Linked DNA regions of Caenorhabditis elegans. The protein of the gene in region 1 purifies or fractionates together with the protein of each later gene. This does not show direct contact. Each region holds a gene or a part of one and is shown in the gene's direction. Other genes may lie near its edges. The genes, in order: hint-1, K07C5.2, pho-8 and nex-3.

What was found.
Region 2: the proteins of hint-1 (region 1) and K07C5.2 fractionate together in Caenorhabditis elegans (co-fractionation; one large-scale study listed by BioGRID). This does not show direct contact.
Region 3: the proteins of hint-1 (region 1) and pho-8 fractionate together in Caenorhabditis elegans (co-fractionation; one large-scale study listed by BioGRID). This does not show direct contact.
Region 4: the proteins of hint-1 (region 1) and nex-3 fractionate together in Caenorhabditis elegans (co-fractionation; one large-scale study listed by BioGRID). This does not show direct contact.

What each region holds. Positions count from the first base shown.
Region 1 is NC_003279.8:7,279,152-7,282,351, reverse strand, and holds hint-1 (Histidine triad nucleotide-binding protein 1), read left to right. Parts: upstream 1-2,024; 5' UTR 2,025-2,040; coding exon 2,041-2,163; intron 2,164-2,207; coding exon 2,208-2,345; intron 2,346-2,419; coding exon 2,420-2,551; 3' UTR 2,552-2,682; downstream 2,683-3,200. Other genes in the region: rde-2 (SH2 domain-containing protein), read left to right, coding at 1-120, 168-266, 385-444, 491-892, 941-1,160, 1,206-1,613, 1,689-1,699; F21C3.7 (Small integral membrane protein), read left to right, coding at 2,743-2,857, 3,028-3,200.
Region 2 is NC_003283.11:10,337,628-10,341,521, forward strand, and holds K07C5.2 (NADP-dependent oxidoreductase domain-containing protein), read left to right. Parts: upstream 1-1,872; 5' UTR 1,873-1,875; coding exon 1,876-2,079; intron 2,080-2,129; coding exon 2,130-2,260; intron 2,261-2,308; coding exon 2,309-2,427; intron 2,428-2,751; coding exon 2,752-3,101; intron 3,102-3,147; coding exon 3,148-3,249; 3' UTR 3,250-3,344; downstream 3,345-3,894. Other genes in the region: arx-2 (Actin-related protein 2), read right to left, coding at 1-159, 206-469, 513-623, 676-723.
Region 3 is NC_003283.11:11,831,644-11,836,234, forward strand, and holds pho-8 (intestinal acid PHOsphatase), read left to right. Parts: upstream 1-1,975; 5' UTR 1,976-2,001; coding exon 2,002-2,181; intron 2,182-2,548; coding exon 2,549-2,641; intron 2,642-2,690; coding exon 2,691-2,846; intron 2,847-3,032; coding exon 3,033-3,452; intron 3,453-3,497; coding exon 3,498-3,617; intron 3,618-3,722; coding exon 3,723-3,857; intron 3,858-3,903; coding exon 3,904-4,008; 3' UTR 4,009-4,065; downstream 4,066-4,591. Other genes in the region: nphp-4 (uncharacterized protein), read right to left, coding at 771-916, 4,315-4,442.
Region 4 is NC_003281.10:4,440,444-4,444,759, forward strand, and holds nex-3 (Annexin), read left to right. Parts: upstream 1-1,637; 5' UTR 1,638-1,649; coding exon 1,650-1,691; intron 1,692-1,734; coding exon 1,735-1,833; intron 1,834-1,904; coding exon 1,905-2,125; intron 2,126-2,561; coding exon 2,562-2,964; intron 2,965-3,289; coding exon 3,290-3,403; intron 3,404-3,601; coding exon 3,602-3,676; 3' UTR 3,677-3,794; downstream 3,795-4,316.

The sequences.
Region 1 (3,200 bases):
CGGAAAAATAATTTGTATGATTTCACCAGTTACGATATTTCCTATGATCATATTATTGACGACTTTAGTCTGATCAAATCATCATGTCAACACTATGATGGACGCAGTTTTATTGTTGAAGTAAGTTATCGATTTTAAAAAAAACTATTAAAATAAAAATATTGCAGGCTCAAGCATCTCTGGCAGGTTGGGTCGCATTGAGTGTGCATGAAGATCCACAAAAGCTACACACCTGTGATGCTGTAAGCCGAAATGGATATCAATCAGTATGTGGCAAAAGTGTCCTGGTTCATTTTGAATTGTTCACATTTTGGTTTTTGCTTATCAAAATTTCCCAGAACATATAAGCCACAACCTCCTGCAGTTTACATAATATAATTTCAGCTCCCGAATCCAGTCGTTGATTCTGATGTACAGTATCTTCATGATACAAGACTGTTGGATGTATGTGACTTATAGTTCAGAATTTTTCAAGTAATCACATTTTTAGATTATGACTGGTAATGGATATGTTCAAACACCCGAAACCGACGTACAAGATCAACAATCAAGTCAACATCAAGAAGACGTGCATTCTCAAATGAACTCGCAGACATCTGATTCGTACAATTCCTCTAGAGTTGTGTCAGAGAATCGGGAAATACCTCCGGAAACTTTTCGAAGCCAAAGTATCGAATTGAATCAAGTTGATTCATCCTTGTCCCAGACTACAATCTCAAGTCGAGCAGCACCAGTTATTGATTCAAATCAGTTATCAGATGAAGATGAAATTGATGATGAAGATACATACGGAACACGTGGAACATCTAATATTCCGATGAGACCGTTTATTAAAGATTTAGCTCCAACGATGCTTCAACTGCTTCGTCAAGATAAAACTGATTCCGAAAAAGTACGTAATGCCAGAACAATAATATTAATCTTCATCACCATATTTCAGCCTCAATCTGCTTTATGCACCGTTGTGCAAAAAATCGATGGCTTTGCAATTTTGTACACAGCCAAAAGAGACGTTATAAACGTTTTGCTTCAAGAAAGATCGTGTGAAGGATTGGAAAGATCCCCTCAACTCGGAGACGTGGCATTCTTCGATATCTTGCCTCGTAGAATTGAAACAAAAGATAGGCTCATTTTCAAGATTCCATATACACATATTGCAGGTATTTTACAATTTACCAATGTTTTAAAAAAACTTTAATTTTAAGTGAAAAAGAAACCAGACACGCCAGATTCTCTCCTTAAAATTGATTGCTTTAAAAACTCGGTCAGATGCTTCGGAGGAGTGCTTGAAATGAAAGTAAAAATCGCACTTTCAAAACCTGAACTAGTAGTGGAGCAATATCATGACAACACAGAGATGAACTCGGATCATCATTTTTATTATTTGAAAGCAACAAATGGAGTACTTGTCACAATTCCAAAAGAACGTCTTCTGAATCATTTGAATTCGAAATTATCAGCAGATTTTGACCTAATCGCGTGGGTTGTTCATCGAAAACCAATTGGAAATGTTTCATTACATATTGGAAAGGGAGGTGAAGCTTATCAACAGTTCACAAATGGAGATATTCGAGAGCTTCCGCCATTGTCTTCTAATCAATATTTCATGAATGGTAAGTAAGAGGGAAACCGAGTTTTCGAAGAAACCTAGGAGAATTCTTGGTTTTCTATTCAAATTATTATTTCAGTTCGAAAGTAAAAACTGCACAATCGACAAATCACGTTATGGGTTCAAATTGTATTCTGGTACATTAATTCTTGTTCTTGTGTTAACTTTTTTGATTATTTTTTGTATCATTTTACTGATTAAAGCATTTATTTTCACATGTTTATTGTTTATTTCTCGTTGTCTAGCGTTTTCATCGTTTGAAATATATTGCATATTGGTTATTTTTTGCCCATTTTTCAATATTTTAGTATGGCTTCCTCTTTGGTTAAAACCGCTTTGCGTCTTGCTTACCGTAATCCAGTTAGGTCAGGGTTACTGTAGGCAAGGTGTCTTTATCGATTCCACCATTTTTCAGGTTTACAAAGAGAAACATGTCGGAAGTAGATAAAGCCCACTTGGCGGCAATTAACAAAGATGTTCAAGCCAACGACACTCTTTTCGGAAAAATAATTCGAAAAGAGATTCCAGCGAAAATCATTTTTGAAGATGATGAGGTATGTAAGATCAGGCAAACGATCACATAAAATATTTATTTAAGGCTCTCGCATTCCATGATGTCTCTCCACAAGCTCCAATTCATTTTCTTGTGATCCCTAAGCGTCGCATTGATATGCTCGAGAATGCCGTTGATTCGGATGCTGCGCTTATTGGAAAGCTTATGGTTACTGCTTCAAAGGTAATTATAAATGAGTAAAAACGAATTTGAAAATCCAGAAATCTCCATTATATTACTCTTAAATAAAATTCCAGGTTGCAAAGCAGCTCGGCATGGCCAATGGATACCGTGTTGTTGTGAACAATGGAAAAGATGGAGCTCAATCAGTTTTCCATCTTCATCTCCACGTTTTGGGAGGACGTCAGCTCCAATGGCCACCTGGATAAATATTGCATTGCTTACATTCTGCCACTAATTCATTATCAGTCTTGTAAACAAATCAGTAAAAAATTATATTTATATTTATTTCCAAAACTATTTTAAACCGTGGCATCATGTTTTTTGAAATAAATGCATTCTTTTTCTTCTATCTGACGTGTTCAATTATTGAAACAATTAATCATTTCTGGTATAAAATATGACGCTGTACGATAAAGTGAAATCAATTCTGACGATTCCTGACAAAAATAGTAACGATTCGATCGTCAACGCAACTGACTTGTACTTGGAGTGGGAGAAAGGAGACGGGCAGTGTAAGTGTCACGTGTTTCAATGGCAAAGAAAGAGTTTTTAAATGTCATGAAATATGAATGTCGCCGGGCCCGGTTAGCTCAGCCGGTAGAGCACCAGACTCTTAATCTGGTTGTCGCGGGTTCGAGCCCCGCATTGGGCTGATCTTTTTGTATAGTTCAATTTTTTTCAGATCTTCTTCCACTCTTATTGATTTTCGTTATCTTCTTTTGCATAACTTGCGGTGTGTTTCAAGCTTTGTTGAGCCTTGTGGTTCTCTGTATCAGAAGCCTTTGCGGATTTGATGAGGAAGATGAAAACTTCAATATCAATGGAAACCACTTTGCTAGAAATTCGACACCTTCT
Region 2 (3,894 bases), on another chromosome or scaffold:
GATAAGATACTTGGTAATATCTCTTCCTGCAATATCCAATCGTCTTGTCAAATGATGAAGAGCAAATCCTTCGTAAACAGGACAGATGTGGGTAACACCATCTCCGGAGTCAACTACAACTCCTGTCAAAAGACCTTGAGCATAAAGAGTGAGCACAGCCTGAAAATATAATCATTATGATTTTATCATGAGGATTAACTATTACCTGAACCGCCACATAGATAGAATTGAATCCATACTGCTCAAACATAACTTGAAACATTTTCTCACGATTGCTGTTCGGATTGAGTGGTGGTTCTGTCAGCAGCAGTTTACACTCTTTCGGGTCGATATCCAACTTTTCCGGTCCAAAAGTATGATCCCATACATGCGCCATATCATCCCAGTTTCTAACAATTCCGTTGTCCATGGGATAATTGATATCAAGCATTTGACGAAGCTGAGAGCACTCCTCGCCAACCATCAAATCCTGTGAGAAAACAGTTATAAGACCTTTCTGTGTAAAGTTTTACCTTAATTTCAATATTTCCAACTCTTTGTGTCGATCTCACGATTGGCCGACCGACCATTGAAGGGAATATATGAGCTGGGAAATTGGTTCCTGCATACCCGCATTTGACGAACTGCAAATACAGAATTTTTGAAAATAAAATGGGATAAAATTTTGCAACTTACACCTGTTCCGTTGTCAACGACAATCACCTTTCGCCCTTGCGAATCCATTTCGCCTGAAAATTGTTAAATCGATTGTGCGGGTTTCGAATGAGTCATAAAGAGAAGAAAAGTAAATAAATAGCAAATTTGCTTGCCAATCGATGAAACCGGTAAAAATTTCGTTTTGACACTGTCTTAGTTGGCTTAAAATAGAACAAAGTACGAACATTTAAGCAATATTTTACATTACTTAGATTTTAATTTAATGAACGAGGGTTTCTGGAAAGTAAATCTGACTATATTTAGTGGAGATCGCCGTCAAAATACGCGGAAGTCGATGGAAAAATGTTTCTACAATTTCGCGAGAATTTTTATGTTCTTCATAGAATACGAAAACAATTATAAGATTAAAATATACAGAAAAGAAATAAGGAAATTCTATTGAAATAAAAACATGACAGTTCTGTCTATAGTGGAGACGCAGGGAATTGGTTGTCGATGGAGCAGATTTGCAGCAAGAGTATCGTAGTGTAAAAACAGATTTAAAAAATCTAAATCATGAACCTTTGTTTTTTTTATTATTTTATTAGTTTTATTTATAACATTTATTTTTATTTACATGTTTACCATATTTATGATTTTTTTTACTTGTGTGATTAGTTTTTGGTAGAAATTTCTGAATATTTATGTAAAAAAACATTTTCAACATCTGTAATAAATAAGTTGCGATATGGATTGTACCGAATTATTTCCACATGAAACATGGCTTTTTATAATAAAGGCTCTTCCTCACATCCAAAATTTTAATTTCTCAGTTAATTTTAAGAAAAATGGGAAGAGACAACATAACAACTAGGATAGGTCATGTGTATATGGTAGTGTTCCTATCGTGATTGGAAATGATCACAATATAACGTCATTCTTCTGTTAATTCAATTTTTCTCTGTTTAGTAAACTTATTGAACTCTAAATACAAACTTCGCAAAGAGAGTGTTTCAATGATCGAACGCTTCGTTCAAAGTCTATGAATTACCATTGAATAGTGTAAATTACAACAAACATCACATCTTAACTTTCAAAAATTGTTCAATGAAACTTCCATTGTTTGTTGAACTGTCCCCCTCCTCCTCTACCTATCTCTTATTTATATTTAATGTCCTCTATTCTTCATTTCTTGCCATTTTTATATTCTTTTATCTCATTTAAATGTATTTTCAGACTATGAGTGTTTTCACAAATGTTGTTGGTGGTGCATTCAAGTTTTCCGATGGATACGAAATGCCAAAAATTGGTCTTGGAATCTCTCGAATTGAAACTCAACAAGATTTAGATGTCTCTATTGAAGCCGCTCTGAAATCTGGATATCGTCAATTTGACACAGCCAATCTCTACAAAAACGAAACGTTTCTTGGTAATTCCCTGAAGGTAAATTTAAACTGATTTCTGAAAAACTATTCAAACCTCTAAAATTTTAGAAATATCTACCACAATTTGGCTTGACACGTGAAGATGTGTTCATCACTACTAAAGTTCGTACTCTCAATGAAAATACTGTGGAGGAAACTGAGAAACAACTAGCCAATTCCCTTGCAACTTTGCAAACCGAGTAGGAAAATATTTGTTGAGTTATCATCAGAATTATTTCTATTTTCAGTTATGTAGATCTTCTTTTAATTCACTATCCACGTGACCGTGATACTGGAAACGATGATGACTACGAAATTAACAAAAGTAGAAGGAAAATTGTTTGGCAGACACTTGAAAAGGCAAAAGGTATGTTGGTTTCATGGTCATTTCATATAAAGTTGAGTTCCTTTTTCAACGTGGTTGGCGTTATCAATTATTTTGAAATAATAGTGGTAGATCAATCCGATCAAAAAAATCATTCTCTCATCTTACTCTAAGAATACTTTTGCAATTGCAATGTAATTAGTAGATTCCAATGTTCAGAAAATTATATTTATAAATGAAACAACCTATGAATTGATGAAGTTCCGTTTTTAGATTTTCTAAGTATAATGTTAGTATTACAACTGAGCAGTTGTGACACTTTACAAAATTCCATCTTTAAAAAAAATTAAAAATTACATTTTTCAGAGTCTGGAAGAGTTCGTTCAATTGGAGTGTCCAACTATGAAGTTTATCATCTCGTTGAAATGTTTGAGTATGCAAAAATTCGTCCAGTCCTCAATCAATACGAATACCAACCGTACTTGACTCGTCCAACTCTTAAAAAGTTCTGTGATCTGAACAATATCGTCGTTCAATCATATTCTTCTCTATGCTGGGGAGATAAAGAAATTCTTCAAGAGAAACCATTGGTCGATCTTTGTCAAAAATACAATCAGACTCCGCAAGCAATTCTCTATGCTTTTGCACACTGCAGTAATACTTCTATGATTCCAAAATCTGCAACTCCATCGAGAATTCACGATAATTTACACAATGTGAGAAACCTGTATTTTCAAACAATTTAGAATAATTTTTTTCCAGACCATAAAAATCAAATTGACCGAGGACGAGCTGAAATCTCTCAGATCTCTGGACAAGGGAAAATCATTCCCACAGATTGGTCAAACTTGGAGATGTCTATAATTTTTTTTCCATCTTAGATTTTCCATATAGGTATTTCTATTCCGATGTTCAGCATTACCTGTTAATTTTTGTATGATATAAACATTATTTAACATAGAACAATTTTTCCATAACTGCATTTTGTCAAATTATTCAGGATAGTTCAGATAGATTCAAAAACTACAGTAGTTCTAGGAATTTTTTCAAAGGAATTTTAGACATATCATCCCGCAAACTTGAAAATATATAATAATAGTACAATTCCTTTTATAAAATTTTAATTCGAAAATAGCTCAGATTTTTATTGGAGTCGTAGTACGGAGACCCGAAGAACTCGGGGGATGTCCAATTGGGGGGATTACCAACTCGGGGGATTGGCCCCGCCCACAGGACCGTGGCTTGCAATACGCCCATTTCTGCAACTGCCGCACGGTTTCGAAACTGTATTTTTCTCAATAGAGCGAGAATTAACAAGAAAAATACAGTTTCAAAACCGTGCGGCAGTTGCAGAAATGGGCGTATTGCAAGCCACGGTTCTGTCGGCGGGGCCAATCCCCCGAGTTGGTAATCCCCCCAGTTGGACATCCCCCGAGTTCTTCGGGTCTCGTAGTACGATTTTTTGATACTACTACAAGATAGAGTTTGTGGTTCCCAAAAATCCGTTTT
Region 3 (4,591 bases), on another chromosome or scaffold:
GGATTTCTCATATAAGCTTAAATTATACAATATCCAAATAGGTTTATAACCCTAGAAAACGCCATATTCTAAAGGACCTCACTTTGTTTTTTTTTCAAACTATGTAAAATTGAAATCAATTGAGATGAACAGTTTCTATAATATTAATGATTGTTGTAAGAGCTTTAGACTATTCTACCAGGAAAATAGTTGTACTTCGTTATTTTATACATAAACTTCTTCGACAAATTTTTCACACTCTAAGAAGTTGAATATTTTTCATTGACTTATTAGGACTGTCAGGGAAATGCTTAAAGTTCTCGGAAACCAACACAGAGAACACACATACATTTGAGTTGTTCAGTCCATCGGTTTGTTTTCAAATTGAAAAAAAACCTCCTTATAGTCTAAATTTGAATTTTGTTATCTGTTGTTTCTCTGATTCATTTCAAATTTTAATTATTTGCTAGCATGACAATGAATAACAGTAAACAAAAACATTCTTACTGTACACAAATTTTGAAAAAATGTTATTTATTTTAATGTTAGATGTGTTTAGTTTGAACGGATTTTTTACCTTATTCTGAAAGTTGTCTGTTGCATGCTAGCCAAATAAAGAAGTATCATGAAAATCACAGTTTCATGCCCCAAAAAAATTAAATTTAGTGAGCGATTTTGACTTTAAAAAATTCTTGTTATTTTAGTTAAAATAATAGTTTGAAATGTTTGGAAATTACTGTCGATCCAAACTAAAAATCTTTAACATTCAATATTATATAAATTCAACAAACCTTTCTAATAGCTTCATCAGATGATGGAATTTGTATGACAAACTTCTGCGTAATCCGTGGCGCTTCAGACTTTCCGTAAACCAAAAACCCTCGTTCTAACTTCAATGTATTGGTATTCACAACAGAAACGACAAGCTTCTTTGTTCCTGAAACAACACGTGAGGTCATGAAAACGCGGGGGTACTAATCGGATGAGTTTGTGAAATTTGGAATTTTAAATGACTTTGTGGATATTTCTCGCCTGGATGCGCCTAGTTTGCACGTGGAATCAACTATTTTTGCAACTATACTGAACATTTTCTTCATGGCTCTGATGTATGTCTAAGAAGATTAAAATGCAAGGAGAGATAACATTTTTGCGTTTTTTCGACCGTATCAATTTTGTGAGCTTCATTTTTTGGATGTATTTGTTCGTTTTTTGAAATAAATGTACTTATGATCTTTCCTAACTTTCGATTTATTGTCATTTCTTTATCAATATATATATTTCAAACAATTTTTTTGCTGAAAAGCAATATTCGGAACAATTCGATCATAATTGCATTCTGCAAGTTAAAATTGTGTCCCTAATGTAAGTTTCCTGACGACTTAAGAACATGACAATTAAAATTAAGCAATAGATGTATGTAGATTATTTTTTGATTATAATGGGTTGAATAAAAATGTATTCAGTTACATGGATTCAAAGAGTAGTAGTCATAAATAAACTCGCGAGGTGCTAGGTGAGGTAGCATATTCGAAAATACATAACTTTGTAAAAAATGCTAGAAAATACCACAAACATCATCGATAAGCTACCAGCGAATAGAACATTGGCGGGCACTACTGTTTTTTGCTGCACTAAAATTTCAAGACCGATCGACAAAATTCTCCGTATTTGTTTCCAAATTCGGGAACTTCAAACCCAGTATTCGTTTTAGATAAAAAATCATTTTTTTCCGTGGGAGTAAAATGTTAACTGATAACAAAACTTCATACAATTAACAGTCTTTCGACTCCTCCCCACTTTCACTTTCTATTTAAATCCAACTACACCGCACTTTTGCTCTATTTTGGAACATACTCGTCTCAATTTCGACGACGTCAAAAGAATCAGAATTTCCGTCATCAGATAGCGTGCGATTCTTGTATGTAACCTGATAGACCTGCATGAGAACTCGTCCCCTTTTTTGCGACTTTTCTGTCCGGTATTCACTTTTTCAATTTTTTGCAGAGATTTCTAGACGACGTGATGATGTTGATACAAGGACTTGTCATATTTCTTGCCGTGTTCAATAATATAGAATCTAGGAAACTTGAGTTTGTACAAGCACTGTGGCGACATGGAGACCGTGCTCCTCTACACTTACCGTATCCAAATGACCAGTACACAGAAAAAGCTTGGTCAAGGGGATGGGGGCAGTTGACTTCGGTTTGTTTTATTAAACTTTTAAAGAAATGTACTTGTTGAATATTTGTGAGTTCTTACGCGATCTTCTATCATATCACAATAAAATTATAATTACATTTAATTTGTTTCAGCTATAAAGAGTGACCTAAAAAACGGAGCAGAAAAAATGTTTAACATCTCCCAGTGACGCTCAAATAACCAAATATCACAGGAAAAGTGTCAAAATTTTTGGTTATAAATTTTGGATATAGTTTTTTAGAACTGACTATAAATTATGAAAATCTCAAATATCTTATAGTGTTTTAATTAGTTTTTCTGATTGATTTCAAATACACGTTGACAAAACCTTCACTGGCGCTACTTTGCCTTAAAAACCTATTTATTTTAGATTGGAATGCAACAACTTCACGAGCTCGGAGAGTTCTTCCGACACCAATACGTGGACTCTTCATTTATTCCGTCTAATTTTTCAGTGAAAGAAGTAAGAAACTCAATACCATATCTGTAAATTAAACTCTTGAAATTTGTAGGTCTACCTGCGCTCTTCCGATTCTGATCGTGCTTTGGTATCTGCACAAGCATTTCTTTACGGGCTATACCCAGCTTCTGGTGGTTATCAATGGAGCTCAGATATAGACTGGCAACCTCTTCCAGTACATGCATCTACTCCAGGAGAACCTGATTTGGTAACCGTTGATTTTTAGATTTAAACTAAAGTTGTTCTTATGAGGTTTTATCACAAATGCGTCAGAAAGACAAAAGAGATTAGAAAGTACGTAAGAACAACTGATAAAACATTTTGAAGCCCAATTTCTATTTCCGGAGAGTGACTATTCATTATAGACTACATTTACTAAGATAAACTGATTCAGGTGTGCAAACCAACTGCGATAAAATGTGCTCGTCATGAAGTTTTAGTGGCTCAAGGCGATCAAGAATCAAACGCTTATTATAGTGTTAAGTATGCAGACTTCTTCAGTGAACTTTCTCAAACTACAGGATTCAAACACTGTTCATATATGGATATTAATGGATTATTCGATATACAAAGAGAGTTGATTCATAACATGACTGCAAAACAGCCTTATTGGGTTACACAAACCTGGCCTCAATATGACAATCGTACTTCAATGGACATTATAACTGAAATGAGGACCGTTCGAATGATGAATCTATTTAATTCAGAAGAGAAAGGAAAACTTGAAGGAGGCTCCGTTCTTTACAATTGGATTCAAAATGCAATTGCAGTTTCTGAGAGCAGAAATGATCAGAGAATGCTTCTTTATTCTTCGGTAAAATCTAATGGAAACTGAGAAAATCTATTATATTAATTTCAGCATGATGGTGTTCTTCTTGCACTTCTCAATGCATTCCGTGCTTCAAATGAGATGATGGTTCCTTATGCGGCTGCACTTATCATGCATGTTTATTCAGACAACGGAAAATTTTATTCTGAGGTTAGTTGTTCAATTGAAATAAGTTTTATTAGGAAACTTGGTTAACAAAAAATTATTTATATTTTCTTTCAAATTAATGCTGATGGTTCATTTTAATTTATTCAGCTCTACTATCGAAATGAGACTACATCGGATCCATACAGAATTCCGCTTTCCCGATGCCCGGAACCTTGTGAAGTGTCGCAATTGGCAGTGGCTTTTTCAAATATGACAGTTACAAACTACTCGGATATGATGACGGTAAGCATAATCTTCTCATTATAGACCAAAGTTCGCATATTTTCAGTTATGCGGGACTCCTCTCAAAGCATGTGGAAACTCGTCTTACACGTTCAACTCTTTATCATTTTTCTTACCATTTCTCTTAGCGAGTTTATTTTATTCAAAATGAACTAGATCTTAACATTGGTTCCCATGGAACCATTAAATAAATTATTGCTATCTTACATTTTAAATGGTTAATGTTTTATAGAGCAAATTTAGAAAACCCAAAAGAGTTGAGTAAAGATTGACGACAAATATCCTTGGTGTATTTTTCTCTATTTTTGTGTGGAATAACGGTATTGCTCTTTGCACTTTTAGATATTGTAAATAATTTTCTGAACATTTAACGGGTAAATAGAAACGTTTTCATTTTTGATTTGACAGTACGCAAGTGCTCATATGTATATCACATTTTGTTGTATTAAAGGCTTACCAATAAAGTTTGGTGTAAAATCAATTGTGGCTGTAGGTGTTCTTTCAGTGAGCACAGAATCCACAACTTTCATACATCCAGATGCTGTATACACTTTCAGTAAATCATCTGGCACTCCATCATGCTCGCTGAAAATAAACAGATAAAGAACGTAATTCCTATCATTTTGTTTATTGTTCATCTATTCTTCATTTTTTGTGTGTTGTTTTCTTCTGAATCCCCACCAGATGAGAGTGTGGGAGAGAAAAAGAGCGACCAGGTGTTGGAATCCAAGCAT
Region 4 (4,316 bases), on another chromosome or scaffold:
CGATATTTTTGAAGAATATTTTCTCTAAATTGATCTCAATTGTAATTCACAATAGAAGCCTATACATATCCTAACTAGCATCAATAATGTATAATTCCTTTTCAACCGTGACCATTTCAATTGAATTCGTTCCGAATATCCTCACTTTCTCTTTCAAAGTGTCTGCCAACCTTTTTGAAAAGACACGAAAATGATGATCTGTTCGCATTTGGGCAGGTATTTCACAAGTTTTTGCAATTTTATAGAACTTGGAATTTCAATATATCCGCAGAGCATTTATTTTGCGATTTTTGAGCAGAATTTTAAATAATAAGTTTTCATAATATTCTCAGACCTTTATATTTCTGTCAATTTTCGTGAATAATGTGATAGTGAAACATTCAAATTTCCTCACAAGTGTTCTGTAACAATATTCCCGAAAATTTTCGTGCAAGAATCTATTTTGCAAAAAAAAAAAATCAAAAGTCATATTAGGGGGACGCAAAAAACGCCTTTCGAAATCGAAAATCAATCTCGCCCCAACGCCAATTTTAAACGCTCCGCCCCTAAACATTGGGTCTCGTTAGGTAAAACCGTAAATTCAAGTTTTTTCCACTTTTCTGTTGCTTTTAATATTTCTTTTTAATTTTAAAATTAAGTTAAGAAGTGCATGATATAGTGACATGATATAGTGGGAAGAAAACGGTTTTTGATTCAATTTTAATTTTAATTTTTCATCATTTTTCACGCAAAATTCTAGAAAAATAACGAAAATGTTTGAATTTCCCAGAATACCTTAAAAAATACCAATGACAAATAATAAGCTATAATTTTTTTTGTAGCAAAATTGTTAAATTTTCTAATTGTCAAAGTTAGGAAAGTTTCCCCAAAAATTCTATTTAATTTCGAAATCAAAAGTATTTCAAAATTTCTTTTCTAAAATTCCACTGACTCATCATCACATCTCTTTTCTTTTCGAAGGTCTCTTTTTCGAAAAACCACTCCCTATTTTTGTGGACAATAAAAGTGTTCAGACAGTTTCAAATGACTCATCGCAGTTATTTCGTTCTCAATATATTTCTGCCTTATTTTCGAAGCATAACCAGTTATGAATCTCTTTCAATTTAATTTTATTTCCGTTTAAAAAGTAGGAATCAAAGATGAACTGACGTCAATTTTCCACTATTTTGCAGACTTCTTTTCAATGTTTCACAAATATTTACACTCATTGGTGGACGTAATACTTGAAACTTCCCTACGAAGAAAATAAATAAAAAATATTATCCAACTGCGAAATTACGAGAATCTTGAATTCTGCCAGCCTCATAGGGAGCTATTAGGCGTTTTAGGAAAATTAAAATATTTACTTTAAAAATCCTAAAAAAAATAAATCTGAAACGCTATCAATAAAGCATTCAGAAAGTACTGCACTTCCCACATTCTATAGATTTGCTCATAAAATTTGATGCATTGGCCGTGTTCACACATACTTGATACATCATATTTTACAAGCAAATTCGGTTCACTTTTTCTTTGTACTATATTGAACTGTCGTGTAATCCCTGATCCAAAAGTGCAAAATTCTTTACCACATTCAATTCTCCCATTATCCAAATACCTCAAAAAGTCTACCTGAAATATATACCTCAAAGTTCTAGAAAACCGACATAATGGCAACTGCAAAGATCCATTTCAAGCCGTATTTTGATGAGGTAAGCCTGTGGGAAACTAGTAAAGTTAAGCCGAAAATTGTAGGTTGCCGCCTCGGAGCAACTAGAGAAGGCTCTTAGAAACAAGGAGAAACTGAAGATTTTGGAAATCTTGGTTTCGGTTAATAATACACAGAGACAGATGGTAAGATTTTAATGGTAGGTAGGCATGCCTGCCTACTCACCTGCCTATGTCTAAAAGCTCCATATTTCCAGATCCGCACACCCTACAAAACTCGTTACGGAAAGGATTTGGAAGATGAAATCAAAAAAGCATTTTCTGGAGATTTCGAAGATTTTCTCGTTGCTCTACTTCAAACTCCTACTAAACTAGACGTGACTGAGCTGAATCGATCTGTGAAGGGTCTTGGAACAAATGAGAAAAATTTGATCGAAATTCTGACAACTAGGACTAACGAGGAAATTGAAGCGGCGAAGTTAGTTTTTAAAAAGTTTTTCGAAATTAGAAGCTTGAAGTCAAAACTAAATTTTACAACAACAGAAACAATTGGGAAGTAGGCATGGTATAGACATCAGGCGGGAACGTGAAAACACATAGGTAGGCAGCGATTTGGTGCAGAGTAGGCACTTAGGCAGGCATAAGGTAGGTCCGTGGGTAGACAAACATAACCCAGACAGCACTATGGTTATGAATAAGGCATAGGCAGACAGTCTTGATGTAGGTCCCGAAGCAAGGTATAACGTAGGCACGCAGAAAGGCGGAGATTTCAAAAGTATGAATCAGTCGTAATTCCTGTGCGTAGGCTTTTGAAAGCTAGTTAGGTCTCCCGAAAACGAACCCAATGATAATTTTAAAGTTGTTTTCTAGAAAATGTCCTTAAAAAAATTAATATCAACATATGTTTTTTCTAGAAACACTTACTTCATGACTTACTCCAAATCATTGGAAGATGCAATTTCTGCTGATACTTCTGGAGACTTCCGGCGTCTTCTCATTGTCATTCTCCAAGCAAAACGCGAAGAAGGTGGATTCGCTGATACATTCAAAGTTGGGCCTCACGCTGCTCAAATTCTGAAAAGTTTTGACAAAAAGTCTGGAGTCGAAAAATTCGATGCGTTCAAGATCTTTGCAACATGCAATGGAGCTCATATTCAAAAAGTTATTGAAGAAGTCGAGAGACAATCTGGAAAAGAGTTCCAGAAACTTATTGACAAGGAGCTCAGCGGAGATTTCAAGAATTTGGTGTTGTCTCTTATTGAGACTTCGAGAAATAAGCCTCGATATTTTGCAAATTCGATTCATTTGGCAACCAAGGTAGGTGCAAGATATTTGAAATCTTAGTTCAGAGAAATTTGACTTTAGGTAAATGACAAAAATTTCCTGATTTGATTTAAACATTTATCTTTTTGTTACATGTAGGAACTTTCACAAGTCTACACACATATCGTGCTTAACTTCCTACGTAGGCACGGAAGTAGGCACAGAAGTAAGCAATGTAGTAGGCACGCGTGTAGGCGTAAGGCTTTAGATAAAATTAATCAACTATGAAGATATAGGAAAAGAGTTAAACTAAAGCTGGTAACGCTAAAAACATTCTAGATAAAAACCCTCAAAGTTCAGGAAATATTCATGTTTTCAGGGAATGGGAACACGTGACAAGGATCTTATTCGTATTCTGGTATCCCGATCGGAAAATGATTTGGTGATCATTGAACACGAATTTCAAACTCTTTTTGGAAAACCATTGACTCAGGTGAGCCTATCAAGTAGACTGATATTACCTGCAACGTTTACGCCAAAATGTGTACTGAAAATAGAACAAAAAATATGTTGATATTTCCAAATACAGTTCAAAATACAAATTTCTATTTAAGATCCCCAGAGCGATGTTCGTAATATTTTCTATAGAAAACCATATTGGTTTCTCTTTATAAATTTCATAAAATTGCAGCTAATCAAGGAGGAGTGCAAGGCAGAATACCGTGATGGTTTGACGATGCTTGTCAAGGGAAATCCAAGACCTTAGAAAATGAAATACAAACTATCGATTAAAATGCTTTCTGTTTGAAATTGCTTTACATTGAAACTACTTTATAAAATCTATTTCTAAACGTTTTTATTTTAATAAAAGTTTGAAAAATGACAAGCGACAATTCCAAAAAGTGCTCACAAAGTTTTCTTGAAAATTAGCATTACATGTCCCACGTTCAATGCTGGTCAACATCCCATTATAAATTTCTTATGATTTTCGAGCAGCTGACATCTCCCGAGTCGGTTAGAACAGAACAGGACCTGAAGCAATTGTACCTCAAAACCCCGATTATTAATCGAAATATTTTTCTATAGAATTTCTGATTAGACTCATTTAAAAGTCTGTTAAACTAAATGCAGAAAAATATTTATTTCACTGTAGAACAATGTTTCAATTAATGTGCCAGTCCATAATTTTGGCCATTCTCTGTTTCATCACGAACTCTTGATCTTTTTAAGATTCTCCCCTTGAATCAAATTCAAAAATTTGTTATGTAGCAAAACTGCAGACTATAATTATCCATAAGGTCCCCTCCCGACGCCTTTTCCGTTTCCTTTTAGATTCCATTTCTTTTGTTCTTCATAGTGACCCTCACATGGATCGAAAATTGGCGTGTTCCTCGTTCATCGGCATT